Linked DNA regions of Bombyx mori. The protein of the gene in region 1 interacts with the protein of each later gene in a biochemical or structural test. Links are inferred from orthologs where the notes say so. Each region holds a gene or a part of one and is shown on either strand. Other genes may lie near its edges.

Region 1 (7,736 bases):
CGAACCAAAGTTTTAAAACAAAAGGCGAAAATATTTCATAAATAAAATATCTGTTGCAAAAAAGTCAGTAAGTGATGAAATGGAATTAAATGAGGTGATACAAAACAAAACCATAGGTGAATGAAATGAAAAAACGGTGGTAATTTACTGAGAATAGTGAAATCTTAGTGACACTTTTGGAAAAACCCGAAACGCACGTATAGCGATTTTGTTTTGTTTCGCCCTTTTATGATATTATGTGATTAATAAGCTGCTATGATTATACTTGTAAATCTGAGTAAACACTAAATTAACGGATAAAAGTAACTTGATATATTTTTGCAAAAGATCCTGTTTAGATGGGGACCGAACTCAAGGCCCAGTTGGAACCTGTAGATATCACAATAATGTGAATATCGCCACTTTAGCACTCGAGGTCTAAGTCTCAAATAGTTGTTAAATGACAGCTTCGCATGATTGCTTCGTGACAGGAATAGGCCTGAAAATGCAGTAAAATATAAAGAAAGTTTTATCTGACCGTTACAGAAACCAAAAAAGTACAGACCTTTACTGGTGGTAGGACCTCTTGTGAGTCCGCACGGGTAGGTACCACCACCCTGCCTATTTCAACCCTGAAGCAGTAATGCGTTTCGGTTTGAAGCGTGGGGCAGCCGTTATAACCATACTGAGACCTTAGAACTCTTAACTAAAGTTGGGTGGCGGCATTTACGTTATAAAAGTCTATAGGCTCCGGTAACCACTAAACACTAGGTGGGCTATGAGCTCGTCCACCCAAATACGCAATAAAAAAAATGTTAAAAAAAACTTTCAGGTGAGGCTTTTTTTCCTACCTAAGCTGATAGTCTTGAGAGGCTATTTCAGCATAACCCTAACAAGTAGGTGAGCTCACGGGGCTCAAACATAATGACGTTGCTAACACTAACCCTGGCAAGAGCAGTGCGCAAGCAGCGGATTCGACGGAGAACGATGACCGGCAGGTGAGCCCTAAGTTTATTTGCCACTCAATAAATCTTAATCATAATTTGGTATTTTTCAATGTTCATCTTAGAGAGTCTTAAATGAATTATAGTGCCACCTATTTAAATTATAATAATAATGGTAATGGCTGGGTAATGTCTAAATATCTTGTTTTAATCCATATTTTTATGATTCTCATTTTATCATCTGCAGAACTCATTAACAAAGCCAAACAAAGCCTTTGGCCTTAATAGAAAGTAAGTAAGGTCAGTGGATATTATTCTTAGGGACATTAGTTAAAATAGTGGTGTATCTTATCTAAGATATGCCGATGATACAACAATCCTTGCAGCCAGCGAGTCCGAGATGGCTGCGATCTTGGAGCGAATAGAGAGAGTTAGCCTTGAATTTGGCCTGCACATAAACCGCTCTAAGACCAAAGCGATGACGGTGGACAGAGCTCAAGTTTTAAGTCCATCAAATGCGCTCAAGGATTATGAGAAAGTGGAGGAATTTATATACTTGGGGTCGCTGATCTCTAACAGTGGTAACTGCGAGAAAGAAATCGGACGCCGTATCGGGATGGCTAAAAGTGCCATGACTAGCCTCAATAAAATCTGGAAAGACCGTAATATTCGCCGAGTAACTAAGATGCGTTTGGTTCGTACGTTGGTCTTCTCTATCTTCCTGTATGGGGTGGAGACTTGGTGTCTCAGGAAAAAGGAACGCAAAAAGATCGAGGCCTTTGAAATGTATTGCTGGAGAAAGCTGCTACGCATTCCTTGGACAGCTATGAGAACCAATGTCTCCATCCTCGAAGAGCTGAAGGTCACCAAGCGCCTGCTGACTATGTGCCAGGAATGGATCCGGAGTTTTTTTGGGCACATAATGCGATCCTCATTGCACAGCCTGGAGAAACTCATAATTCTCGGACAAATAGAGGGAAAGCGCGCTAGAGGAAGAGCGCCAGCTAGATGGGTGGACCAACTCAAGGAGGTGACTGGAGGCCAGATACAGGGAGCGGCACATATGGCGCCTTTACACTCTCAGACAATATCACTTGTACTTGTAATGTTACTTGTAATTGAATATGTTAGATAGTGAATTAAAGAATATTTAATATTTATTATATTCTCGGCTAGATTCCCTTCGCCTATCCACTAAACAAATTCAAAAAAATCTATAAAATGGCGGGAATTAATTGAGACTTCTGTCTGGCCAAACTCCAAAGGGACATTTTGGTTAAAACTGTTAAAAGTTACTGAAACAAAATAAATCATCATCTTTTGGAAGATAAAATATGTGAACCTATAGTCGGATTTTTTATTAGACGAAGTCAACTGACGTTTACTGTGTTGTCAGTTTTTGATGAAATAAAAATAGTGTTGTGACAAAGTGAACGATTGAAAAAACTCCTGAATTAATGAAATTGCCTCGATTGTCTAGTGAACAGTTGGTGTGCCGAATTGCCGATATCGGGTACGGGGTTCGAATTTTAGGCGTGCTTTGTACATACCAACGAGTTTTCGACGAAATATTATGTTCCTATAATATCTACCTGTACTGAATACCGAGTGTTTTAAACATTAAGAAAAACATTGCGAGGAAGTACTTGTAAGACTGTCCTATTTCCAATACATCATATAGTTGAAATTATAGATGTATAAAATATAACAATTATAGGTAAGTAATGAAAATAAAAAAGCTGATTGTAGTTACATACTACTAGCAACATATATTGGAGCACTTTAATACAATTTTATTGTAAAATATAAATAGTACTCTTTTATAGTTTGAAATTAATGATTAACTCTTCACACTCATTGTTCATTCGTGATTGAACGAGAACTGAACGCATCACTATTACTTTAAATATAGCAACATTATTTCACAAAGTGACATTAGCTACTGTCAGCTAGCTTCGTCTAATTAAAAATCCGACTATAGTGGCTTACTCGCTTGAAAAAAGTTTACAGGAATAAGAATCAAAACTAAAAAAATTAAACCATACTACCTTTTCTATTAAGATCGGTTCGGAATTGTTTAGTGCATTGTACTACTGCTGTTACTAGAATAGTCTTCAACTAACAATTTTGACCTCTACTTTAAAACAATGTGGAATGGTTTGTTGTTTTATCATTTACATGGTTATCTTTATAGTTTTTTCTGTATTAATTAGAATTTGTTACATTCAGATGATCCTTCTGGAGGTGGCTTCCTTAACACCACAAATCAATTTGGAAATACGGCAACACCCAAAAAAACTGTAAGTTTACAAAAAAATAAAATTCAATTGATTACGAAAATTTAATATATTAATAATACATTTATTCACAGGGTCGTAGAGCGGCACGGACAGCACCTATAGTCATCAGGCAAGCTTTGCATTCTGGAGAAGAAGGTGTGAAAATATGGGGTACAGAAATTCAAATAGTGTCAATAGTTGCAAGAATCAGGAGCATTAGAATGCAAAGCACTAAAATAACATATACAATCCAAGATATAACAGGGAGGATGAGGGCTGTACTCTGGCTCGACCAAGAGGCTATGGAAGTTGAAGTAAGTGAAAGTTACTTCCAGTTTCAGAGTAATGTCAATGTAAACGAAATCATTAATTAAAATGAGTTAATCCATTAATCATGTCCACAATCATGGTAATAAAAAAAATAAAAAAATCTCAAAGTCAGATTAAGTTATTAAACTTATTCTGTGCTTTTTGAATATTTAAGTATATGCCATTTTGATTCTTTAGATATTGAGTATTTTACATAAAAAAAAACAGATATTAAATCTTTCTGAGCTTCAATTTCAGGATACCTCATCACCTAAAGTTCAAGTAAATGATTACATACAAATTTACGGCAATGTGAAAACGAATAAAGGGACAAAAGTGCTCATGGCATTTAAGATAATGCCAGTTACTGATGTCAACATTATTACATTTCACTACTTTCAGTGCATTCATAATAAAATACAAATGGAAGCTGGCTCAAAGAAGGTAATTCTAATATACCTGGTAATCTTAAAATTTATTATTCGCATTTCCATTCACCATAGCTAAAGGCAGAAGTAACTACTTATAACACAATATTTTGAGGGGTTAAAGACTATTTGGTTTAAGCAACATTTAGCTTAATACACATGAATTTTGTATTTGAAATATTTAGTTCTTGTATGTAACAAAAAGAGTTGATAATAATTGTCAGATATTTTTATTACAGTACAGTACATAAAAATATGTCATAGTATAGTATTATTTGTTATTGATTCTTCAGCAATGTAAATGATGTCTTCTTCATCAGCAATGACTTACCATTTCAATTTTCATATAAAATGAATTTCAGCACATCCAACATGCTTCTCCTTTTTTTCAGTTTTATTTTAAAATAATAATCTACTATTTTCAAACTTGAACCCTTTATTCTGATAAAGACAGAACTACAAATTTAGTTATCATTCAGCTCTTGCTAGTGCATTTGAGTTGCATCATTGCTGTGGATTATTATGTCCCATCATGAATGGTGCTTCCGCCTACATGTTTTTTGCTATACATTACTTCATAAATTGGATTTTATTTTGCAGGAAAAAAATATTCAAGATGTCCCAATTAACAACATGCTGCCTGCAAATTCAATGGTTGGAATTACTGAAACCTCTTCAGTGAATGGCTTAAATTCTCGTCAGATGATGGTCTTCAACCTTATCCGTGGCTCTACTGTTGAACAAGGAATTAGTAAACAAGATATGTATGCCTCACTGAAAGATCGAATGACAAAAGTTGAATTTGAGTATGTATTTTTTAATCAACATACTAAATTTTAATTCAAACATTTTTACCCCAATAAATTATAACTGATAACTGATAGTAAATGATAACTTAAAAATAGAGTTGAAAGGAAAAAAATAAAGCAGTTAGATTTTAAATAAATCATCACAATCAGCCCCTTTTCTTAGGAGTTTAGTGACAAACACACATACAAAAAGATTAAATCTATCTTCTATCTATCTATATATAAATTATTTGCTGTTCGTTAGTCTCGCTAAAACTCAAGAACGGCTGGTCCGATTTGTCTAATTTTGGTCTTGAATTATTTGTGGAAGTCCAGAGAAGGCTTAAAAGGTAGATAAATATGAAAATCCTCAAAATTAAATAAAAATAACAATTTTGTTTTTACTTTGATGTGTCCCTTGTCGGACGAATTCCTTTTTTTTGTTTTAAGTTTCTTTTATACAAAAGTTTAGGTCTTTTATTTATCGATTGAGGCACTACAAAGTCTGCTGGGTCAGCTAGTATAATATAAAAATTTAAAATTAAGTATAGAAAAATTAAAGGGTTTTAATTTTTTTATGATTACTTGCAGAAACATTTTGGAATGGATGTGTGGAGAAGGTCATATCTACTCAACAATTGATGAAGAGCATTTTAGAGCAACTGATGCATTTTAAAAGTTATATATTTCATTTTTTAAAACTTTTATGTAATAAATATTTTGTACCAATTTTTTGTTATTGCTCTAGTTGAGCTAATTTTAAACCTGGTTAGTGAATAGGTACCAAGAGTGTTCCAGGGGTACACCAAAATCAGAATTATTTTATTCAAGTAAGTATTAATAGATACTTGAATCAGCAGGACTTCCATCTGACCCTGTAGACAACACATCCTGAAACAAGATCACCAATTATACAAAGCGAGATTTTCACTTTGTGTAACCAGACCCGCGGCTCCACCTCGAGGACGCCCGACCGACGATTCATTGAGGCGATGATCGACCACCAATGATGCCGGTTTCCGCGGTACGTCGGCCCTAAAAGGTCGCCCGGGCATGCCGTGGCGTTTCGGTATACCCCGCTGGGCCAGAACCAGCCAGCCGAGTCGGAACGCGATACATCACCGACCGGGTTGCTCTACCACAGTATGTTCGGCGACGACGGCAATGGGGATCGCTGCCGACAACGCTTTGTCCCATCCTCCTGGTACCAGCGCCCTAGAGTAACGGCAGCGTGCGGTGCAGCCTCGACCCCCTCAGGTTGCACCTTGGCCACCACCGGGAGAAGATTGCCTCCTCACAGGAGCAATGTCTATGGGTTAAGCATTACCAGGGGCAGAGCCAACCTGCTGCCTATCGTTAAAATTTCTCCAGGATTGAATTGGACCAGTGGTTGTCTTCACGGATGCAGATTTTGATATTTTTATTTATTGCCCTTGTAGGCAGACGAGCATACGGCTCACCAGATGGTCAGTGGTAACCGTCGCCTATGGATTGCAGCAATGCCAGGAGCAGAGCCAACCTGCTGCCTACCATTAAAATTTGTCCAGGATTGGATTGGATCAGTGGTTGTTTTCACGAATGTCGATTTTGAGATTTTTAATTATTACTCTTGTAGGCAGACGAGCACACGGCCCACCTGGTGGTGAGTGGTAACCGTAGCCCATGGACTTTAGCAATGCTAGGGGCAGAGGCAAGGCGCTGGTTACCGTCCATTTGATTGTCCATTGATTTGAACACCGTAAACCTTTTTTTCTCCATGACAAAATTCGTAAAGCTCCAACTCTCGACTGCGATCACTGAAGAAAACGTAGCGATTTTTATGCGATTCATTGAAGAACATCGACATATCACAAGGATCTTGAGGATTGGATGCTGAATCAAACAAGAGTCAACAAACAAATGATATAAATACATTTGTCTGGTTTTTTTTAAAATAATTATGACTGATTACAATTAAGATAACGTACATTGTTTTTTGTATCCCAAGGAACAAGTCACTGACACCATCCATCCAGTGAGTCTTTAAAACTTTACAACAGATCCATACAGTGAGTCTTTACAACTTCGAAGTTCAAAACGTTTTTCGTATTGACATTTTGAGTTTTACGTTTAGCGTAACATTGCCGTTATAACAAATTAGTGGTAGCAGCATCAAAAGACTTTCTTTGATGTTACTTGATTGTTAATATAACATTCTTTTGAACTGGTAGCAAGCTGGATTTTTATATGTAGGCAAATGCCTCTCTAATTACCAATCATGTGGGCCATATGCTTATTATTCATGAACATTAACACAAAATAAAACTGATTCCTCTTTTCATTTACTTTTATTTAAAAAAATAGAAAATTTTGCTCATTTTTACAGGATAAGCTGACGTTAGCCCATCCTAATAACTTGATCAATAAAATACCGCTTTTTCAACATACCTTAATGAAACTAATAAGATCTCAAATTGTACTAAATTAGCTAGTACATAATTGTGGTTTTTTATTATAAGATAAAATCTTTCTAAAAGTGTTTGTATTGTAAATGAATATTCTGATTTTTTTCATTTATGTTGGTAGATTACTCTCAGCTTCAGGAATGTTTACGGAAAACTTTAGTACAAATATACATATAAATCATACAATTTATTTTATTATAGTTATTTTATAACTCATCCCTTAGAGCTTTGTTTTTAATATCAGGTTTCTTTCCTGGGTATGTTTGACTTTCCAATTGAACTTCTTTAAGCTCCTCCTGTTCTAATAGAAATTCTTTAGCAGTCCATGCTTGAGATCCATCTTTGAACATGAAAATGGCTCTGTCATCATCTATTAAGTACCTAAAACAAAACTTCCTTTAACTAAAGCCACTCATACTGGGGTATGGGATCTGGTAACATTTGACAAATGAGCAGTTTGTTTGACTATCTATGCTGTTTAAAAAAATCATATCAATTTGATAGGAACCTCTGAATTCACCCTGATTATGCACACATGCATGTTTGTGTAATATTATTGACATTC
Region 2 (5,497 bases), on another chromosome or scaffold:
GGCGTAGTGCTGCTATTTATGAGCACTCATTCCCTTTACTCTCAGTTTTACAACTAATCATTGTATTTTGTTAGGTTTTAGCGAGGTATTGATAAAATTAAAATTAATTTTAAGACCATGTGGATATCGTTGTTTACGTTATTTTAAACATTTCAATATTATAAACTCTAAACCTTCTTATATTGTCAAATTTATGTTTAAGTGCCACACAATTACAGTCAGGTATCTACATTATTGTAGAGATTGTTTTACAATTATTTTCTAGCACTCTTACTAGAGAGAGTAAGCAGTTAACATGGCCAAGTTGCTTACCTAACCATATTGTGGATGGTGCTTCCCTTCAGACAATCAGTTGGAGTAAATATAGACCAATAGTTTTAGTAATTAGCACCAGAGAGATGGGATGTAAGCGGTTACCGTTGCTTATTAATCTTTAGAAATTATAATTTAGATACGAGAGTAAATGCGCACTACAGAATTTAATATTAAGCTGCTATGGTGAGCAAACTGGTTTAATTATCTAAAAGAGACGTGACCACGCGTGGGCCGTGGGCCCGGCACGGACGTAGACCGGCCGCATCAGGGGCTTAGAACCGCTGAGAAAAAAGGTATATAGAATGAAACTCTGGTATGACGCAAAAGAAAGGAATTTTTGAATGAAAACCGAAAATAAAAAAAATCATTTTACTTTTTTTAAAACCTAATCAATGGTGGTGACCTCATTCGCGCACACGGTACATTTCTCACAAATAATACTGTTACTTACGTTTTTACGATGATTTGTACTGGTTCAAATAATGAGTTTTATAAAAATGTTACTTAATTAACGTCTTTAATGTGGTAAATTTAAGAATTTCTTTTCAAAAAAACAGACTTTCGTATTGGAAACTTAGAAACAAAAGTGGACCTACTGTTTATTTTCAGTTTTGAGTTTTGACAAGTTTCAATCGACAGTTGACAATATTGATTTTGACAGTGAAATCAAAGTCCAGAAAAGGCTTATGACTACAAAGGCCAAGCCAAGAAGATATTTAGCAAAAAAAAGTCTGGTTCCCACAGTTAATGCAGTATGCTATCCTAAGTAAAAATCTAAATTGGGCGAAGCCTGTATCGGGTCTGATCTGCAGGTCGGAAGGATCCGAAGGAGATTGACTGGTGAATTTTTCACAAAATGCCTATCTATTTTACTGGATACCAGTACATGAACTGCCGATCGACCTGGTGCGAAGATCCTTTCTTTTAAAGCCTAATCTTAAGAAAGAATGTTCCATATTTACTATTTGAATATATAAAGCATTATTTATTGTCAAAGACAAAAATTAACTAGCTATTTACCTTGTTAAGAGTATTCAAATTGAATACCATTAATATAGCAAAATTCTATAATTAATATCGTGGTTAATACACTTAATATTAATATAATTCTTTCATCTAATTAGTTTTCTTGACATTTTAAACAATCGCGTCTTTGATTTTGGTAAACATACCATAACTCAGTTTTCTGAAACCACCTGCCTCATGCACCATGCACCACGTTCAAACTTGAGGCTCTGTGGGTAAGAACTTCAGCTCTATAATATGGGTGTACAAAGAGAAACATAACACAGTATCAAGGTTTAAATTTTACTTTCTCAACACAATTAATATTTACAAAACATTTTAAATATAAATTATATTACAAAGTCTAAAATATCATTTAAGAATTATTATATTTATACAAATCAAAGTACTTAGCGCGTTGTTATAAGCAAGTGACCATAGACGCTGCATGCTGAAGTCACAGCTTCGGGAGCAAAAGAGACAACAAGCACTCAATTTAATTTTTCATGACTCTTGTCAAAAATGACAGCTGTCAAGACAATTTGAACGCTACAACGTCGTCAAGCAATATAAAAGTTACATTAATATGGAATGGTGTAATCGTGTCACGTATTGGTGGGGACCGCCTTGTACAGCCTGAGTCGGGACTCTGACAGAGCCGCCAGTATATTGCTTCCGTTCGTCTCGACCGAGCACACGTCCAGCGCGGGCTCCGACGCGGGCAGGGACATGGTCCGCGTGCCGTCGACGCCGTGCAAATAAAGCGCTGAATCGCTTTCAGAATGAGCGGCGACCCACGCAGAGCTCGCTAACCTCACCCAGGCCACTTTGGACATCAACGAGGACCTGAGCGACCCCGAGAATGTTTCTACCACGTCACAAATAACTTCGCCGTTCGGTATGCTCGGTTTCAATTTACAGACGCTCAACTTAGATCTTTCTAGACCATTCGAACTCGGTCTGGACGCTATGACGGCGCGTTGGGACGCGTTATCATAGGCCAGAGACATGAACGATCCTTCCACGGGCAAGACCCTCGGCTCACACTGCCTTGTGTTCACCGCCCACAGCTTCGATGAGTTCAACTGGCACGACAAGAGACCATATTCTGTGGAACACAAAGACACAACTGGTGACAGGTCCCCCGGAGAGCTCAGCATCCGTAAGTAGGTGCTAGGGTTTCTGACGTCATAGTGGTGGATCACGCCTCCGACGCCGCCTACGTAGAACTCGTTGCTGCGCAAGTTGTCCCAAGAGCAGGACCAGAGCGGCATGCCCGAGTTCACCGTCACGCTGAGGATGCCGCGCTCGACTATCCGCGCCGTGCTGTCCAGGGCCACGCTCAGCAGCAGGTCCCGGTGCTGGGAGTACGTGATGTCGCGGATCGGCTTCGGGTGCAGATGGACGAACTGCCCCAGCTTGTAGTCGACACAGCTGATCTTCCTTATCCCGAATCCAGGGAAGAGATAGTTGACGCTCTTCTGGGACACATACAACTCGTAGGTCCGGCAGTTGTAGGTCAGGACTCTGCAGCCTCCGTCCTTGCATATTTCAAGGTTCTTCTCCAAGGCGAACCTCCAGGACTTCCTGGAAGGCTGCTCCTTGTTAGATTGAGACTTCATTAGGGTGCTCCGTAGGCCCTCGAGCTGTTGCACGCAAGCGCGATGTGCTATCTTCATCTTTTCTAATTCCAGTTCGGTTCTGCTCTTCTCTGATTGAAGAATCTCAACTTGTTTTTGTAGAGCCGTAATTTGCGAAGTGTCCGCCGCTACCAAGCGCCTCGCGTATATGAACCTCAGGTCCTTCAAGTTGGCCTTCCCCTTGCAGGTCGGGCACGTTCTGTCTTTTAGTTTCTGAGCCTTCAGCCAGCGCTCCACACACTCTGAACCGAAAAGGTGACCGCAGCGCAGTGCTACTAGCCTGTGGTCACCGGAGTTACCCCACGAGTCCAAGCAAATCGGGCAGGTTTCGCCGTCGACCTCTTCGACTTCGTTCATCTTCCTGAGTTTGGCTGGGGGTTCGATGTCATCAGGGGGCCTGGGGTTCAATCTGATCGAAGCGCAACTATTCGAATCTTCATTTATAGATTGTCTCGTGCTCTCATCGCTGAATGAGGTGAGAGGTGAAGTGAGGTTGCTGTCCTCGCTCTGAGCCGGGAGGTGTCCTGGTCCGTTAATGATGATGTTCAGCACCGTGTCGTTGCTGTCATCGTTGTCGTACCTCAAGGGACCGGCCAAGTCTATTTGTATGGGCTCATCGCTGGGCACATCTAACGGACCCTCGGAGGGATCGTGATCATGGCTTCGACTAGTCGACGGCAGATCTATGTGGTTGTCATTCTCTGCTGCTGCGAAGCTTTGCTCCGGTTCTTCGAATATATTTGGACTCCCCGGTGACTCTGTGCCCTGGCTCTGTGCGGTGGGATACTGGCTCATTTTTCGTAGTCATTGGGTTACCTGGGAACAGAGAAAATGTTTTTGGTCTAAGTCATCCTTTTCTTGATTACATAGAAGGTGTGTTGGTAATGTTCCTGGAAACGAAGACGAGTGGTAGAATTGCTGATGGCTCAACAAACAACGCAAAATAATAATTATCTAAAATTTGAATTTCCAATTAATTTAATTTAACAAATCCTTTACCTCAGACTTTTTTTTTTTCGGGCCGAGGCCCGAACCTCTTACGAGGTCCCCGCGCCTATGGGGCGCGCGGGCTATGTGGGACTCAACGATCTGCAAGGTGTTGGAAGCAGACAGCGGGCCCAAGGAATTTTAGGGCACACCCACTAAACGACTCCCCTGCACTCTTACACCCGACGTCCGATCTCCGTTCGGGGTCAATACCCGGTCAGAGTAGAGGGGTTCCTGCAGTCAACACTACAACCAGACACGCGGCGCCACCCTGAGGACGCTCGACCGACGGGTCGTCGAGGCGATAGTCGACGACCAACGACTTCGGTCTCCGCGGTACGGCGGCCCTACCGAGCCGCCCGGGCGATGACGCTGGTGTTCCGGGATACCCCGCTGAGCCAGAACCAGCCTGCCAGGTCGGAACGCGATACACCGCCACCTCACCATGAAACCTCACCATGAAACCCATACATCATAACATGCATGCCACCCCTCACCTTGAGACATCAGCTTAAAGTCTTAGTTATCAACAGCCTCATGTATCAGACCTGGGTACACAACTGTTTAGCGGTTGTTTGCAATGAAATGAAAGTTGGCCTCATACCAGCTGTTGTTCCATCTTATAATTATGTATAATAAAATTGCAGGCTCTGATAACCATTTAACATTAGGTGGGCTGCGAGCTCATCCACACACCTGCATCTTTGGAGCTCTTTACCCACAAATTTCTCACTAAAGATAAATACTTATTTGAAGAATGGTGGTCACACTTGAGTATCTCTAGCACAATAGTCACAGCCAGATGACATTACAGAGTCCTCAACAATTGCATGATATTATGTCTTAGCTAGCTTTCATAGCTGCTCATAGCACACTGTTGTCCAGCTGGACATCTAAGAGTCACAGCTGTGTCAATCCAACAACTCAACAAATTGTAACGCATGATTGCTGAGCATAGTCCTAAGGTTACCACCAATTGGGATTGCAGATTGTTTTAGGGCTGTTACCATATTATGTACAATGTCAAACAGACACCGTTTTATTCTTAACATAAGCATACTGTATTGTGAACATTCAATAATTATGATGTACATTGAATTTGCAAAAATACCCTACCTATAAAACTTAAATCACACACATAAGATAGCCTGATGGTTTGATTTTTACCATTCATTTTACTAAATTAACATTGTCAACCTTAGATCTTTGTGATCAATTTGACACAAATTTTATCATTGAGACTATTGAGACAGATAAATTATTACTGAAATGTAACATCATCGTTTCACAAGGAGTCCTTCAGGTTAGATTTAGGTATGCCAGTTGGTTTGGGTTTGTAGTCGATCCAATTTCAGCCCACTACCCCACTGTTTCTGTCAGCTATCAAATTTGTCTCAAGATAGGAGGAGGCATGCGAGTTTTCATACCAATGAGCTTCGATCGCATCTTCTAACACTGAACCACTTCTCAATCATGTGGTCTGAGGTTTGGGGATGCTCGACAGTACTAATTTATCAATTTCTTAGAAAACGTTATTATAATTAGTATAG
Region 3 (6,025 bases), on another chromosome or scaffold:
CAGTTGACCATGGCTGGGATTTGCCTCTAGAATTGCTGATTTCCGCAAGACCTAGATACAACTCACCATCAGGTGGGCCATCTATAAATGCAATAAATAAGTCACACAAGACAAGGCAAAGTAATTCTTAATGTTAAATTTTGTAACAGAGTAAATTTTTGTAAAAATATTGGTTATCATTATTTATTTTCAGTTCATGGACCCATCTGTAGTTAAGAGCTATCTATATCAAATCAACAATGCCATCTTGTACTGTCACCAACGACGGATCCTGCATCGAGATCTCAAACCACAGAACCTACTCATCGACAAGACTGGAATCATTAAAGTGAGAGTATTTTATGGTGATATTAATAATTGCAAAAAGATATTAAAAAGTGCTAAACAGTGAGTCTTGGGACCAGCAAGAACCCTCTCGATAATTCTAGACTACTGACAGCCTTTTTATCGTTTTAAAAAAAGTTGTAAATCAAAACCAGTAACATGAAACTATGGACGCTATATAGACCATGTATATTGGTGTTGATACTGACTGAACAGTGTCAGTGCTATTACTATAGGTCAATGTGAAGGCCTTTTTTTTCTACCTAACCTGATAGCCTTGAGAGGCTATATCAGCGTAACCTTAACTAATAGGTGAGCTCACGGGGCTCAAACCTGATGACGTTGCTAACACGAACCCTAGCAAGAGCCGTGCTTCGCAGAATCTACCACTGGATCAGAAACGCGACCCACTGAGAAGATCCGGCGAGAAACTCAGTGGGCTGTGTCTGAGGGTTAATTTACTCGTCGAGCCCTTCGTCGCAAGCGACGGGTTCGACGAGAACGATGATCGGTGCTTGAGGTACCTAAAAGTACTGTTAGTGGATCGGGAGGATCCGAAATGACGTGTGTGAAGGCCATGTCATAGTATATTTGTTCAAAATATAGTTTTACCAGTTTGAAAAGTCAAACACTGACATTAGACAATGGTCATATAGTTTTATTTTCTTCATAAATACCTAATAAATTTGTGACAGGTTGCAGATTTTGGTCTTGGTCGAGCATTCGGTGTTCCAGTGCGGGTCTACACACATGAAGTTGTCACATTGTGGTACAGGGCTCCTGAGGTCTTACTAGGAAGTCAAAGGTAAAATCTTATCCAAATCAGTCAAAACCAGCCACTACAAACTCCAATATAACTTTTCTATAATGAGTAATCAATACACATTAGTTGTAATTTGGCCCAATAATGAAATGTATTTTAGAAAAAACATTTTGTTTTAAGAGCTTTAGACTTTGTTTTCTAAAAAATGGCAAGTTGCATTGTAAATTCATAGAATAGTGTGGCAATACATTGCCACTAATTGTTTCTTAATACAAAAGAATGGTCAGTGACCGTGTGGAGTTCATTATTTGGTAGATTATTTATTTATTTATTATTTATTTTGTATAATAGTAACTTGTCTTACTTTTAGATACTCTTGTCCAATTGATATATGGTCAGTTGGCTGTATATTCTCTGAGATGTCATCAAAGAAGCCACTGTTTCAAGGAGACTCTGAAATTGATCAACTCTTCCGCATTTTCAGGTGAGTAGGCATTTCGCCATTTTAGTGGTAGGCTTTGGCTATGTATTTCTGAGGTCCATGAGCAACGGTGACCACTTACTGTGATGCTTGTCTGCCTTAGATTTATTAGAGTTAAATCTTAACAACAATAATTGAAAAAAAAAAGTTTTTTATGCTCCCTTCAACAATGGAATGTAACTGGTGCTTAGAATAAAACTCTAGTTTTGGATTAAAACACAGATTGAACACTAACTAAAATATGATGTGGACATTCAAGTTTTGGTTGTTTTTTTTGGGTGTGCAATTACTACAACAACACTTATATAACAGTTAATAAATTTTAAAAAAACCTGTTGTTGGGGTAATTAAATTATAATAATACTATTTCAACTTGATTGAGTGATTTCCTTCCAATAAAAGAATGAATATAATGAAATGTTTGACTTACATTTACAGGGCAGTAAATATGATTATAAATATGTAATTTTGAAGTATGTAGAAAGAAATAGAAGACTAGTTTACATATTGTTAGCCTCTAAAACTTCTGTTTATCCATTCCATTCCCGGATGTACCTCCACTTTCTTGCGACCTTGCTTATACCTGATATTAGCTTAAATAAAACAAACTATATGTGTAAATTCAAATCAATAAAGTGTGAAATTCTGAACAGATAGATTTGCTCCATGCATAATTTCCAATGAAATGGAGATACATGAATGAACTAAACTTCTAATATGGGATTTGTGACTCCCAATTTTTTTTGAGTTAATTTTTCTGACTCATTTTCCAATTTCGTTTATGATCAATGTATATGGTATCTGCTGGAGTACACTTTTTCTTATTAGTAACTATTTAAATCACAAGATCTCTTAATTTATTAACAGAATGCTAAGAACGCCAACAGAAGAGATATGGCCTGGTGTTTCTCTCCTACCAGACTACAAGCCAACCTTCCCGAACTGGAACACGTACAATCTGCACAATCATGTACGTATGAAGCATATTTTATTTTAGATTTTTATATGTCTATTGTTCTTGAGATATTTCCAGATATATGAAAAACTAATTGAATTCTATTACATAATGAGTGACACTACTCCAGCTAGCCAAGATATTCCCTTGGGATTTTAGTGAAAGTTTATTTTAGCAGAACCAGCTGTTAAAAGTTTTGTGTGTGTGTGTGTGTGTGTGTTGTATAATGTTTTTTTAATATATTTATTCTGGACTTTGATGTCCTGTTTCTGTCGTGAAGCACTTATGCGTTCCAGTTTGTAAGATGGGACAGCTCTTATGTGATTTATATTGAAACTTCGACCTCATATCAAAACTATCTTTCTTCACTTTCTTTATCGCTCAGACTTGTGATTGAGCATGTGGCCCACCTATAATAACGGTAACGGAATCTAATAAACAGCATTTATTCATGTCATTAACGACACAAATGCCGCCACCCATCTTGGAACATAAGTTCTGAGTCCCAGTTTTACAGTACAATAGTTGTCTCGTCATTCAAACCAGAATACGTTACTGCTCGTGCGGACTTACAAGACTCCCCAACACCATTTAAGCTATATTATATTATACTAGTTATTATCAATGACGTGACTGAGTTAAATCTTTTCTTCCTACCGTCAATTGTAACGTGCATTTTTTACAGGTACAAAACCTAGACGAAGTGGGCATGGATTTGTTACAAAAGATGTTAGTCTACGATCCGGTTAAAAGAATATCCGCGAAGGACGCGCGACGACACAAGTACTTTAGAGACGTGAAACTACCTCCCGGACTGACAGTGCACGACGCTTACATCAGAGTGACGCCAGAATACCCATACGACACGGATTCTGTTCAAAGTGTATAGGAGACACGAATCATTAGAACTAGGTGTCATTTATAAAGACTACAAATATATTTTCAGAACGAATACAAAGTACAACTCAGTTGGGCTCCTCTGTCGCAATCATTGCATTTTAATTTGAGAGATTTGAGGTATGTTCTCTATACTGTATTCTCCACAATTCGCATCCAATCTCCTTATAGTAGAACCTTAATATTTAAATGTACTTTATTTTATCGAATTTGATCTAAAAATTAAATTAGTCAATTCAGATTATTGAAAAACTAAGACTAGTAAACGCGAGACGTAATTTAGTTAAAGCTTTGAACTTAAATAATTTACGTAAAGGCTTTTTAATGAATTTGTGTGTCTGTGAAGTTGGGATTTTAAACCGTCGAGAATAAATGAATAGATGTGAGTTATTTTAAAGCTATTTCGGCGAAGAGCTTAATTTTTAAATCAAGTCACTAGGTTTTAAATAGTGACCATAGAAAATTATTGTTTGATTATTATAGAAAAACGTGTCATAGTTTGTTCGAAGTTGTACAAACCTTCATAGTTTTAACTTTGAATGTTGGTTTCGTTCATTACCTTAACACTAATTTGAGAATTATTGATAGTTAATTAACCTTGAATAAATTAATTCTCGTTGTCTAATCGTGTCGTGTATACATCTTTGTGTCGTTTTGTCATGTTCGACTTATGTTATAGGATAGTATTTAATTATTTCTTCTGTAATAATATTACTGCCAAATAGTTGTCTTCATTGAACTGTTTAATAAGTTTTTACGAACGCTGAAATGCTTAATAACCTCAGACACCAAAGGCTAAAGCAGTAAACTTAGTGCATAAAAAACTAACCACAATAGTTTAATTATCATTACAAACTAACTTTGGATTTGGATAAGGGTTCCTTTCGACTAAAATACCTGTTTAATAATATATAAAACTTGCAGTATTATCATTCACGCCTTCAAAGAAATATTCTGGAGCTTGTGATGATCATAATAGTTTGTTAAATATAGTTTGATATGCGGCAAATGTGATTTATAGGATTATAAGTCCCATTCGAATAAAATCATTTTTGAAAATTATTATTTTTCAAACTATTCGCTGTGCAAACTCCCGGCGTATCAAACTGTTTTCAACAAACTATAGGACTCTGAACGGTTTTTACATACATTTATTAGTAATGCATTTGGAGATAAGTTTAACTATATTGTTCTGTATGCTGTTGAAACATCGTGTGACATGAGAAGTATTTTATATGTATTTTCATGGAAACTTAATTAATTTAAACTTAATTATCTGTCCAATTCATGTTCTTCATACACTATTATGTCATCTAAATAAATAAATACATAAGATCAATAGGTTGTACTGCAAATATTTCTTTAGTATAACAGAATTATAAATTGAAATTGTTTTAAATCTCTTCAATTAATATCTAATACCAACAACGTGTTTCTTTTTCTTCTAAAATAATTGTAAACAGTTTGTTTTTAATAGTAAAGCATAATTATTTATTTAATTGATATATATATATTACATGTTTGACGTGTGGGTGTTTTAATAAATAATATGAAAAAAGACGTTTTGATAAACTTTTGACAAGAAACAAATGTAATATTATTTTCTTAAGTTTTTGCCAATTTCTCTGGACCGCTCATAAGTTAATTTTATTTTTAATTATATGTAATGGAATGTGTATTTGATTGATAATATTTTTAAGCATTGTCTTAATTTGTAAAGTATAATAATAATTTTAATATAACTGTGTTGTTTTACTGAAACAAGAAAGTTAATTGACAATTCGTTTATTTTTTTCTAATAGAGCTATGATCAAAATTGTACATAAAATATACAGAAGAAACACTAAAGCTAAGTCATATGCTATCACCTCCTGAAAACTATTACAATATAAAACCTAATTATTATTCTGGTATTAAATAATTTACTACTGTAAAAGAAAACGTTTGATTATTATAATAATACAACAATATCGACTTTGAAAATAAAATTTAAGAAACAAAAAAATAAATACAACTAACAAATATGGGTAGCAGTACTTTAACATATGTACTTTCATTGCTTTTAAAATCCTACAATTATTATTATAATAATAAGTATTTAATTTTATTTACAGATCTATAAAAATCAACAACAAATTCTGATAAAGCTACTTATATAAAGTATGCACCGCAGACTATATTTAATTGACAGGAAAAGTACGAATAAAAATCGATTAAAATATCACCTCAAAATTTCAATCGATTATTCGATTTTATTATTAGTGATGTATGAACACGTGAGGGTGTCCCGGTTGAGGCTGCAGTATGATGCGATGCGGCACGTTGATCTCCTGCTGGCCCAGGCCCGACACCGCCACCGTCCCCGGCTGGAGCTGTTCATACAATCACAGTATACTGATACTGGTGGAGGGACCTTTTGTGAGTCCGCACGGGTAGGTACCACCGCCCGGCCTATTTCTGCCGTGAAGCAGTATTGCGTTTCGGTTTTAAGGGTGGGGCAGCCGTTGTAACTATACTGAAACCTTAGAACTTATATTTCAAGGTGGGTGGCGCATTTACGTTGTAGATGTCTATGGGCTCCAGTAACCACTTAATATCAGGTGGG

What was found.
Region 2: the proteins of Rpa2 (region 1) and E3 ubiquitin-protein ligase RFWD3 form a complex in vitro, tested with the Homo sapiens proteins (3 studies listed by BioGRID, with this or other methods). The link is inferred for Bombyx mori from reciprocal best matches to the Homo sapiens genes RPA2 and RFWD3.
Region 3: of the proteins of Rpa2 (region 1) and Cdc2, one has a biochemical effect on the other in vitro, tested with the Homo sapiens proteins (2 studies listed by BioGRID). The link is inferred for Bombyx mori from reciprocal best matches to the Homo sapiens genes RPA2 and CDK1.

Annotation. Positions count from the first base shown.
Region 1 is NC_085114.1:7,171,841-7,179,576, forward strand, and holds Rpa2 (replication protein A2), read left to right. Parts: upstream 1-2,131; 5' UTR 2,132-2,267; intron 2,268-2,902; 5' UTR 2,903-3,070; coding exon 3,071-3,080; intron 3,081-3,152; coding exon 3,153-3,223; intron 3,224-3,294; coding exon 3,295-3,516; intron 3,517-3,769; coding exon 3,770-3,955; intron 3,956-4,539; coding exon 4,540-4,745; intron 4,746-5,318; coding exon 5,319-5,403; 3' UTR 5,404-5,435; downstream 5,436-7,736. Other genes in the region: LDLR chaperone boca, read right to left, coding at 7,378-7,552. UniProt on the Homo sapiens protein: As part of the heterotrimeric replication protein A complex (RPA/RP-A), binds and stabilizes single-stranded DNA intermediates that form during DNA replication or upon DNA stress.
Region 2 is NC_085117.1:97,614-103,110, forward strand, and holds the end of E3 ubiquitin-protein ligase RFWD3, read right to left. Parts: intron 3,777-5,497; 5' UTR 3,756-3,776; coding exon 1,926-3,755; 3' UTR 1,610-1,925; downstream 1-1,609. UniProt on the Homo sapiens protein: E3 ubiquitin-protein ligase required for the repair of DNA interstrand cross-links (ICL) in response to DNA damage. Plays a key role in RPA-mediated DNA damage signaling and repair.
Region 3 is NC_085122.1:10,043,380-10,049,404, reverse strand, and holds the end of Cdc2 (cell division cycle 2), read left to right. Parts: intron 1-193; coding exon 194-328; intron 329-1,019; coding exon 1,020-1,129; intron 1,130-1,457; coding exon 1,458-1,571; intron 1,572-2,435; coding exon 2,436-2,538; intron 2,539-3,208; coding exon 3,209-3,412; 3' UTR 3,413-4,416; downstream 4,417-6,025. Other genes in the region: zinc finger protein 431, read right to left, coding at 5,679-5,792. UniProt on the Homo sapiens protein: Plays a key role in the control of the eukaryotic cell cycle by modulating the centrosome cycle as well as mitotic onset; promotes G2-M transition via association with multiple interphase cyclins.